Sus scrofa: one gene and its partners. The protein of the gene in region 2 interacts with the protein of the main gene of each other region in a biochemical or structural test. Links are inferred from orthologs where the notes say so. Each region holds a gene or a part of one and is shown on either strand. Other genes may lie near its edges.

What was found.
Region 1: of the proteins of CDK7 (region 2) and GTF2E1, one has a biochemical effect on the other in vitro, tested with the Homo sapiens proteins (3 studies listed by BioGRID, with this or other methods). The link is inferred for Sus scrofa from reciprocal best matches to the Homo sapiens genes CDK7 and GTF2E1.
Region 3: the proteins of CDK7 (region 2) and GTF2H3 form a complex in vitro, tested with the Homo sapiens proteins (2 studies listed by BioGRID). The link is inferred for Sus scrofa from reciprocal best matches to the Homo sapiens genes CDK7 and GTF2H3.

Annotation. Positions count from the first base shown.
Region 1 is NC_010455.5:139,571,436-139,575,091, forward strand, and holds part of GTF2E1 (general transcription factor IIE subunit 1), read right to left. Parts: intron 1,145-3,656; coding exon 720-1,144; 3' UTR 1-719.
Region 2 is NC_010458.4:47,430,693-47,434,348, reverse strand, and holds part of CDK7 (cyclin-dependent kinase 7), read right to left. Parts: intron 2,350-3,656; coding exon 2,200-2,349; intron 1-2,199. UniProt on the Homo sapiens protein: Serine/threonine kinase involved in cell cycle control and in RNA polymerase II-mediated RNA transcription. Cyclin-dependent kinases (CDKs) are activated by the binding to a cyclin and mediate the progression through the cell cycle.
Region 3 is NC_010456.5:29,345,313-29,348,968, forward strand, and holds part of GTF2H3 (general transcription factor IIH subunit 3), read right to left. Parts: intron 1,498-3,656; coding exon 1,435-1,497; intron 580-1,434; coding exon 550-579; intron 457-549; coding exon 428-456; intron 1-427. UniProt on the Homo sapiens protein: Component of the general transcription and DNA repair factor IIH (TFIIH) core complex, which is involved in general and transcription-coupled nucleotide excision repair (NER) of damaged DNA and, when complexed to CAK, in RNA transcription by RNA polymerase II.

The DNA of each region.
Region 1 (3,656 bases), on a different chromosome or scaffold from region 2:
GGACTCTTTATCCTAAGTGCATGTTTTTTCTCTAATTTCTTCCTAAGGGCTTACCAAACACACTTTCTGTTTTCTATTATCCCTTATACAAACCAAAAGGCATTTAGCAAACTAATAGAATCTCTCAGTAAAGTCACTTCTAAGGACACAAATTTTTGTTTAGATAACATCAAGAGATTTAGACAGAGCCGTCCCTCTTCCACATACACTCCCACCTCCCCTTAAGCATTGACTCCATCCTCGATCGTGAGGCAACATGAAGTTTTAAGATTTTTTTTTCCTTCATCAATGATTTGCCTGTTGACAAGTTGCTTGATTGGTAGCAATATCAGGAGCTGTTTGGAATGCTTGGTCAGAATAGATAAAAAGGAGGTGATCAGTGAATTGCTGTAACATGTCATAGTGGGCTTCTACAAGCAGATAGGAAGAATTTACTTTATAGACTCCACACATTTATTTCAGAAGGAAAGGAAAAAGATTAGATAAGGAAATACAGCAAAATATTAACACTGTAGTAATAGGGAAGGGAATGCTTATAGCCAACCTACCTTGTGGGGAAGTTTCTGGCATAAAAATCAAACTTTCCCATCATTCTTTGTGCAAGATTAAAAGCTGCTTTACATCAAGAGGGACAGAAAGCCACTTAAATAGTTTTCTTCAAAGGTAGGGAATTTTTTTTTGAAATGAGCATTAGAGAAAGGAGGAAAAGGAGGGAAAGCTCACTCAAAGAGGTCCTCAAACATGCGCTGTCCCATTGCTATGTATGCTTCCTTCTCCTCTGGTGTCATCTGGGCCACCAGCTCTGGCTTCTGGCTCACTTCGCTGTAGGAGAACGGACGGCCAGCCACCATGACAATGGGGTCATCTGCTACTTCCTCAAATTCATCATCCTCCTCATCCTCTTCCCCATGATGTGCAGCCACAGCTGCCGGTCGGGGTGGGGAGTCGTCATCTGACTCACTGGTCTCACTCTCAGAGTCACTACCATTGGCAGTGGTCACAGGAGCAGCCGCCCCCACTGAGCCTGCTACGGCAGAGGGGGTCTTCTTCTCATGAATGAGCAGTGCTCGCATGACTTCCTCATTGTCATCTGGCCCTGCACGGCCTTCCTCACGCTCCTGAAATGAGTCTATATCTATGCCACCTGGAAGGAAAAAACCAGAAAGTCAAAACCTTAACTATAAAAAAGCACTCCTTTATAACTAACACAGTATTTTAATATGTTATATTTAAATATAGGATGATACAAAATAACAAAGACTTCAGTAATTCCATTTTTTGAGCTACTTACTGTCCATATGATAGCCAAAATGTTTCTTACAAACTAGAACTTAAGTAGCATAATGGTTAAGTACAGTTGACCCTTGTACAATGTGGATTTGAACTTTGCAGGCTCCACTTATACATGTTTTTTTTTTTTTCCTAATATAAATACTAGTAGTACACGTTCTGTGGTTGTCTGAACCATGGAGATGCAGGAAACCATGGAAATAAGTTATACTCAGATTAAGCCCTGCATTGTTCAAGGGGCAACTGTACATGGATTTTAAGAGGTATATAGCTTGGATCTGAATCCTAGTTCTTCCACATGCAAGATGTAACTCTCTAGGCAAGTTATTTAGTCTCTAAACCTCGATACCTCTTTCTATAAAATGGGATGATAAAAGCTTCTAGGGCTCTCAATCAGAACAAATGAAATAACGTCTATGAAGGGCCAAGTTTGTAGGTGGCATAATAGGAAATCAAAACATGGCTCTTCATCTTTTTCAGAGTCCTGCATTATCTGGAACTCCTCCTGCCCACCTACTTCTCTCTTATCACTTGCTCATCCTGCCCTAGTCACAGTGGCCTCCACAGTATTCCTTGTACACACCATATGCATTCTGACCTCAGGGCTTTGCACTGCCCGTTTCCTTTTCCTGGGATATTTTCCATCTAGGTATCCATACTCTCTTACAATCTCTCATGACCTTACTCAAATTTCACTTTCTTTTAATTCACCCCTACCCCTATATTCTCAATGCTCTATTTTTCCCTATAGCATTTATTTTCTAACATAGTAATTTATGTCTATTATCTTTGTCACCTACTCTCCACAGATGTAGGTCCACCACAATAGATATTTACCTTTTTTATTCAGTAATATATCCCACGCACCCAGAATAGTCCCTATCGCTTGTTAGGTACTGAATAAATATTTGATGAATGACTGAATAAATGGCAGTTTTATTTTCCTGAGGCAAATTAAGTGTACTTTGATCTCTTTATCTAGGAATCTAGTAAGAAATGAAACTTCTCCCACCACACACCTTCTATTATCTTTTGTGTATATTATGGATGAAATTTAAGAAAAACATAATACAAACATAATGCCATTTAAAATATATAAAAGAATTATCAAAGTTCCCATGTGGTGCAGTGGGTTAAGGATCTGGTGTTACTGTAGCTGTGGCTCAGGCTGCAACTGAAGCACAGGTTCTATCCCTGGCCCAGGAACTTCCACATGCTATGGGTGTGGTGAAAAACAAACAAACATATATTTATTTATTTATATAATATTTTAATATAAGGATAACTTTACATAATTATAATGTTTTAATTATTGACTCCTTGGTTCAAGTCCTAACTCTAACATTTATTGGCCATGTGATTTTGGCCAAGTTACTTCATCTTTTTCTGCTTCCATTTTCTCAAGTACAAAAAAGAGTAAAATAGTATCTATCTCACTGTATTACTGTGGGTATTAAGTGAATATTTGTGAGGGCCTGGAACTTAGTGTTATCTATTATCATTATCAAAAGAAGACTCAGAAATGACCAATTCTGGCCATGGATGAAGTGAAAGCATTTTCTCATTAAAACATCAGAATGAATTAACTGTAACCCTGGAAACTTTAGAAAATATAAAAGCCCTGAGATGAGATATTGGGCAGATAAGAGAGGGAAAAGGAAACAGGAATTGAGAAGTTAAAAGTTTAGGTCAGAGAAAACAGGTTTTTGATAACATCAATGTAAAAGTGATCAAAATCTAACTATTTTAAAACACTGCCAAAAGCTGAACTTCCTCCTTAGAGCTCTTACTGCCAAAGCAGTACTACAAGAGGAAAAAGAACAAGGAATGTATATAAGTCTCTCAGGCTTACATGCTTCTAAAATAATTTTCCAAATAGCTTAACATTACCAACACAGGATTTTGATTAATGTTTAAAGTTAATATAAAATTATGGGAAAAGGAATTTAATTCTGTAAACTGAATGAAGTCATATCTAAAAGATTTCTGACAAGGGTCTAGAGAGGCTTCAGAAAAAAAGGAATTGTTCTGTTATAGATGAAGACAGAAGATGAAAAATAAGGATAAATGAACAAATCTCTAGATGATAAAGTAGAAACATTAGTTCTAGGAACAATCTTATTTCATAGATTTATAAATTACAAAGATATATACTGAGAAACTGTCAAGTTCACTGATGATGCTAAGCAATTCTGGGTGCTTAAAGGCCAAACCGATAGCAAAAAACAAACAAAAACACAGGAAAAGCTGAAGCTTGTGTAAATGGCAGCAATGTGGCAGATCTATTTCAATACTGGCAAGTGTAAGAAAACCTGCCTACAGGGAAAAAAAATCAAAAATATACTGAACAACCTGATCCAAGCTAT
Region 2 (3,656 bases):
TATTCAAATTCAAAATCATGTATTTTTTTTTTTGGCTGCTCCCATGGCATATGGATGTTTCAGGGATCAAACCTGTGCCACAGCAGTGACTCAGGCTTCTGCAGTGACACCACCACCAGATCTTTAACACGCTGTGCTATAGGGGACTCACCATCTCATCTAAATTCTTAGAAATAAAACTTTTTAAAAGATGCAATAGGTTGGAAACAATGGATTAAAATCCAATAATCCACTAAAATTGACAGTAATTTTCTTGGAAATACTTGCCCAAGGTTATTTCTATTTACTACCAGTCCAATATTCTATAATATGATATTTCCACTCAGGTCCAAAATTCCAATAAAAAGTTTTATTCTAGATGACAAAATTGTCAAGTTCATACTTTATTTGCATCGTAGTACTGTTCAAGAGCCACATTAATTTAGGACATTTCCTTTTGGATAATTCTCTAAGGAACAAAAAAAGTCATATAAACTTTAATACCTCCTTCCACCAGTCAACATAGTATTATCTGCAGGAATAATTTAGAGATTTCTTATTTTAGAAGAGTTTCAGAGTTCCCGTCGTGGCTCAGTGGTTAACGAATCTGACTAGGAACCATGAGGTTGTGGGTTTGATCCCTCGCCTTGCTCAGTGGGTTAAGGATCCAGCGTTGTGGTGAGCTGTGGTGTAGGCCGGCGGCTACAGCTCCAATTCGACCCCTAGCCTGGGAACCTCCATATGTCAACAGGGAACAGCCCAAGAAATGGGGGGGAAAAAAAAAAAAAAAAAAAAGAGTTGCACTTACAAAAAGCATTAATTCCAAATCGTAGCAGTTTCCTAAGTAAATTAAGCTAATTCTGAGCTACAAAGAGATCTAAGAAAGAAAGAATATCTCATTTCAACTTTTAAATATCCACAAGCCAAAACCCATTAAAATAAATTCATTCTATCAATATACAACCCAAACAAGTTATCACAATTAGCATTTTTCTATAAATTTTGAGTTTTATTGTTTATGATAATAACTTTCTAGATAATCTTATCTGGCCTCAAGTTTCTTATGCTGGAGATAATATGTATATACGCCTGGGTGAAAAAGTAAAAATGAGTTACTTGTTTGAAATTAGAAGGGTAATTCCAATGGTAAAATACATAGTATATATGCATCAATGTAGCACATGCTGCTAAGAAGAGAAGGCTAATAATAGAAATAAATGAGTTAAACAATGAGTCTGTAATAAATTTAAGTGAAAAAAAATCCACTTTGTATCCCTGATATATGGTGCATTAACATGTTCTGCCAGGTATGAAGATCTGAGACATTTCAGTCTCTCCTTTTATGAAGCCAAATCATTGTACTGTGTTGCATTTTTGCACTGCATTTCCCTGCCTCAATTTTAAGTGTTATTAACTCCATCCACTTGTGTGTGCTTGTTTTTCTTTTGTGTGTGTGGCTTTTAAAACAAAGAAAAAAAAAAAAACTTTTCCATTATCACTTTCTTTTTTTTTTCTTCTTTTTTGCTTTTTAGGGCCTCACCTCTCAGCATATGGAGGTTCCCAGGCTAAAGGTCAAATCGGAGCTACAGTTGCCAGCTTACACCACAGGCTGTAGGCAGGATCCGAGCTGCATCCGTGACCTAAACCACAGCTCATGGCAACGCCAGATCCTTAACTGAGCAAGGCCAGGGATCGAGCCTGCAACCTCATGGTTCCTAGTCGGAGTCTTTTCCGCTGCACCCTGGTGGGAACTCCCATTATCACTTTTGGACTGCCACAATGACCAGCATGCACATCTAGACTGCATTTTATAGGGAAAAAACTGAACAAAATACTTTTGGCACAGGCTTTGGCACGAGATTTAAGTTAACACATAAGAATTTAACTGAAATATACCAGTATCTTTACAAATACAAAAACCTTATATTTTTCCTAAGTAAACTTTCAAGTTGAAAGCAAATTATCAAATAGAAGTGTATTTATATGTTCCTAAGCAAGAGTAAACTCTCCTGCACCTGCATGTACATTATATAATTTAATACCAGTCTTGAACAGTGTCTGTAGCTTAGGGAGAAGATGAAATCTGTTATTCCTTAAAACAAAACAGATAAATCAACTATACTTCAATAAAAAATTAAGTTAAAAAAACCAGAACCCCATCTTTTCAGTATTTTAAGAATATTAGAACACATTAAGAAATCAAAAGATATGTTAAAATACCTGTGTGGCTGTAATTCGAGTACATGGATTAAATAAGAATAAGCCTTGTATGAGATCTAGCAAGTCATCTCCTGCTGCAATGAAGATATGTTGTAGCGGGATTCCAGGGAAACTCTTAAACGTCACGAAATCTGGAAGACTACACATGTCCTGTAAAAATATTTTTATAATTCATTAAGAACATACCTATTGAAAGGTATATAGACCTCAAGTGAAAAAATAAAACGGCTGTGTACATGATACAATGATCTATGTAGAAAATCCCAAGAAATCTATTTAAAATCTCTTAGAACTAAGTGAACAATGTTACAGGAAGATAATGATTCCAAAAAAATCAACTGTACAATAAACATGTGGATACCATTTAGAACCACTGAAAAACCATGAAATGCTTTGGTGAATGAAAGTCTAACAAAATGTGTAGGACTCATATAATGAAAGCTGTACAACTCTGATGAAACAAAATCAAAGCTCCAAATAAATGCTAAAATCTATCATATGGATTAGAGGATTCAATGTTGTAAGGAGGTCTAGAGTTCTCAAATTTGTATAAATTTTTTTTAAGGTGCGGCCCTAAATAGACCAAAAAAAAAAAAAAGCTACACAGATGAGAAGTTCCCATTGTGGCTCAGTGGAAACAAATCTCACTAGCATCCATGAGGCCACAGGGTTCAATCCCTTGGCCCTGCTCAGTGGGTTAAGGATCTGGCATTGCTGTGAGCTGTGGTGTAGGTCAGAGACACGGCTCCAACCCCGAGTCGCTGTGGCTGTGGCGTTAGGCCAGCAGCTACAGCTCCAATTAGACCTCCAGCCTGGAAACTTCCATATGCTACAGGTGTGGCCCTAAAAAAAGACCAAAAAAAAAAAAAAAAAGCTACACAGATGACAAATAAGCATATGAAAAGATATTCAACATCAGCAGTCATTAAGGAGGAAAAAATTAAAATCACAATGAGCTATCACTACAAACCCCTCATAATGCTTAAAATAAAAAAGTGACACCACCAAATGCTGGAGAGGATGCAGAGAAAATGGGTTACTCACATACTGCTGGTGAGACTATAATATGAATACAGCCCCTCTGAAAAGTAGTTTGGCAGTTTCTTAAGCTATATATGCAACTACCATGACTCAGCAACTGCACTCCTGGGCATTTATCCCAGATAAAAAAAGACTTGTGCTTACACAAAAACCTGTAATGAATGTTTATAGTAAAACTGGAAACAATGCAGATGTCCTTCAATGAGCAAATAGTTAGGCAAACTGGTACAATGAATTTCTGAGATACACAACAACCTGGATAAATCTCCAGAGAATTACACTGAATGTGGAAAAAAAAAAAAGTAAATTTCAAAAGTTTACATATTATATGACTCCATTTATAATATTCTTGAAATGACAAAGTTATAAAAATGGAGAACGTATTAGTGATTGGCAGGGGGTAAGGTAGGGGTGGA
Region 3 (3,656 bases), on a different chromosome or scaffold from region 2:
CCTCACTCAGTGGGTTAAGGATCCGGCATTGCCATGAGCTATGGTGTAGGTCTCGGATTCGGTTGGGATCTGGCATTGCTGTGGCTCTGGAGCAGGCTGGCACCTGTACCTCCGATTAGATCCCTAGCCTGGGAGCCTCCATATGCCGCAGATGCGGCCCTAAAAAAAAAAAAGGACAAAAGACCAAAATAAATAAATAAATAAATAAAAATAAAAAATATATACATATATATTACTATCCATATATTCAATGCTTTTATGTTTCTCAGAAATTTGGTTTTTCACCCCCATCAATTTTACACATTATTTATTAAATGATTCTGGATACTTAACATTTATTGCTTCTATTATAAATGGGTCTAATTTCCCATTGTTTTCTCACTGGCTACAGTTGGTATATGAACATAGTATTTTCTTTTTATCTTACCAATATCCTTGATTTCATTTCCTGATTATCTATAAAGAGATAAAAATAGATTATAAATAGTCCCTCAAAGTTGCAGTAGTAAAATAAAGATTATAGTCCCATAGAAAAACAGAGGCTCCTACCTTTAACCTCCTTGTTCATTCTATGAATGTCTTATTTTCTTAGCATTAAGGAGTTTTAAAATATTATTTCATAAATATTAATAGTAAATAGAAAAAAATAACTTAAATTTTAGTTAAATAAATCCAGCATCCACCAAGCTGAAAAAAGGAAAAGCTCCAATGCCATGATAAACATGCAAAAGAAGAGTGGTTGGGCGCCTCCAATTACTAACTCTGCAATCAAGTGGGCTTTGTAACCTGACCGAGATGACCTTTGTCCCAGAAAATTAAAATTACCAATGATGGTTCTAGGATTATCCACTATGTCCTAGATTTGAATATGGGGACCAGAAGTAAATCAATGAGCCAATCAAATGAAAATGAATTTGAAAACCATACACAGAAGATCAGATACCCCCAAATCACAGTCTGGAACAGAGAAATTAATACTGTACAAATTAAATTACGTAAGACTGAGAAAATATCATACAAACATAGTTAATCAAAGTGCTTATAAAGGAGGGCAAAATAACCCATACACCTGTGGAAAAGCAGCTACTCATTTAACAAGCCCCAGGGCCAGTAAACGGCTTTTAAAATCAAACATTGCTTCCAACACAAGAGAGATGAAAAAAAATTTTTAACTTGTCTAATAAGAAACAAAGCATCCTGAAGAATAATTCATTGTAAGGAAGATACACTGGAGAAACTAGAGTTTTCTGGTTCTTACAGTTTGTCCTAAAAGCATTTGAAAGGCAAGATAAACTATTTTTTTATTATCTACCACTTTAGAATACATATGCCTTCCCTTAAACATGGGCACCCAAGGTTCTAAGAAATATCTCAAGTTAAGATGGCTCTATTACCAAAAAACCCCTTCTGACTAGGCTAAAACAGCAAGGATACAGCAGAGAGCTTTGGCGAGGGATCCCGCCAGCAGAGTTTCTGTATGTTGACCCTCTATGTCACCTAGAAATAATAAAAAAAAATTAAAAAGGGAATTTTTAGGTACTTTCTTGCACTAAAAATCATTTTTAACCCAAAGCATGCTTCTTCATGAATGAAATCAGATGACATTTTCAAAGTGAGTTTAAAAACATAGGTAAGCGATTTTTAAACATTTTCTCAATTTAAAATACCAGAGTGGTCTGAGGCTTAAGTGGGGGTGGGGGGTGGGGAATTGTTTAATGAGCATAAAGTTTCAGTTTGGGATGTTGAAAAAGTTCTGGAAATGGATAGTGGTGGTGTTTGCACAACAATGTGAATGTACTTAATGCCACTGAACTGTACACTTAAAAATGGTCAAAATGGGAAGTTCTTGTGGCTCAAGGAGTTAAAGATCCAGTGTTATAACTGCAGTAGCTCAGGTCCAAGAACTTCTGCATGCCACAGATGTGGCCAAAAAGAAGAAAAATGGTTAAAATGGTAAATTCTTTATTAGTTGGTATTTGTATACCACAATAAAAAATAAATAATAAAAAGTATCCTGGTGTTATTTGGAAAGGTTCTGGTGTCTCAATGATCTAAGTGATACAGGGAGTCCCATTGTGGTGCAGTGGTTAACGAATCCGACTAGGAACCGTGAGGTTGCAGGTTCGATCCCTGGCCTTGCTCAGTGGGTTGAGGATCTGGAGTTGCTGTGAGCTGTGGTGTAGGTTGCAGACGTGGCTTGGATCCCACGTTGCTGTGGCTCTGGCGTAGGCCGGCGGCTACAGCTCGGATTAGACCCCTAGCCTGGGAACCTCCATATGCCACAGGAGCGGCCTAAGAAAAGGCAAAAAGACCCCCCCAAAAAAAAAAAAATGATCTAAGTGATACAAAAGGTCATGTGCAACTGTAGGCAGTCTGGACAGTGGTGCCGGGCCAGGCCCCCACCGTTTCCCACCACCTCCTTCTCCCCCTTCCTCTCAGGAAAGCGGGACCAGTGAAAACAGGACTGGAGAAACTCCCCTGACTGTGGGGAACAGAGATGAAGTCACAAGTCCTCTGGAGACTTGAGAGAAAAGAAGTCACTCTTATAAAAACCAAAATTCTAAACCTTCAGCTCAAGGTGGGGAGCCCAGACTGACACCCTGTGTAAACAGGGCCTGCAACTGATCCAGGAGCATTGACACCTATGGGGAGCTCAGACCTCTTAGAAGTTGGGACTTTACCACGGTGGGGGCGGCGTCAAAACTGTGATTCTAGAATCGGTGCAGAAATAACACCTGAGATAGAAATACAAATTCTTGGGGTCTCCCTAGACCCAAAGAATCAGAAACTCTGGTGTGGGGCCCAGCACTTTGTTTTAACAAGCCCTCCAGGGGGCTTTTAACACTTTTATCGGGGTATAACCTAACAGACCACAAAATTCATTCTCTTTTCTTTGACCGTACCTGTGGCATGGGAAGTTCCTGGTCCAGGGATCGAACCCACACCAAAACAGTGACCTGAGCCACTGCAATGACAATGTTGGGTCCTTAACCCACTGGGCCACAAGGGTACTCCAAAATTTGCTCTAAGTGCACAAGTCAATGATTTTTAGTAAATTTATAGAGCTTTAAATCATTACCACAATCCAATTTGAGAACATTTTCATCACCTCAAAGACCACCTGGGCCCATTCCCAGTAACTTTCCTGCTCCTCCCCAGCCCCCAGAAATCACTAATCCACTTTCCGTCTCTAGAGTTGCCTTTTTTCTTCAAGGTGACTTGGACACAGGAGACAGTTTGAAACCACTGCCAGTAGAGAACAGGTAACCAGTAAAAGGCTTTAAGCCAGGGTAAAGCAGCTGATTTTGAGGATAATTACTCCAGAGGCAGGGTGGAAAGACTTGAATCAGGAGAGGCAGGAGTCAGTTAAGAAGCTGTTTACAGGAGTTCCCATTGTGACTCAGTGATTAACGAACCTATTATCTATGAGAACGTGGGTTCGATCCCTGGCCTTGTTCAGTGGGTTAAGGATCCTGTGTTGCCGTGAGCTGTGGTGTAGTTCGCAGATGTGGCTTGGATCTGGTGTTGCTGTAGCTGTGGTGTAGGCCCATGGCTACAGCTCTGATTTGATCCCCTAGCCTGGGAACCTCCATATGCCATGGGTGCAGCCCTAAAAAGACAAAAAAAAAAAAAAGAAGCTGTCTACAATGATGGAG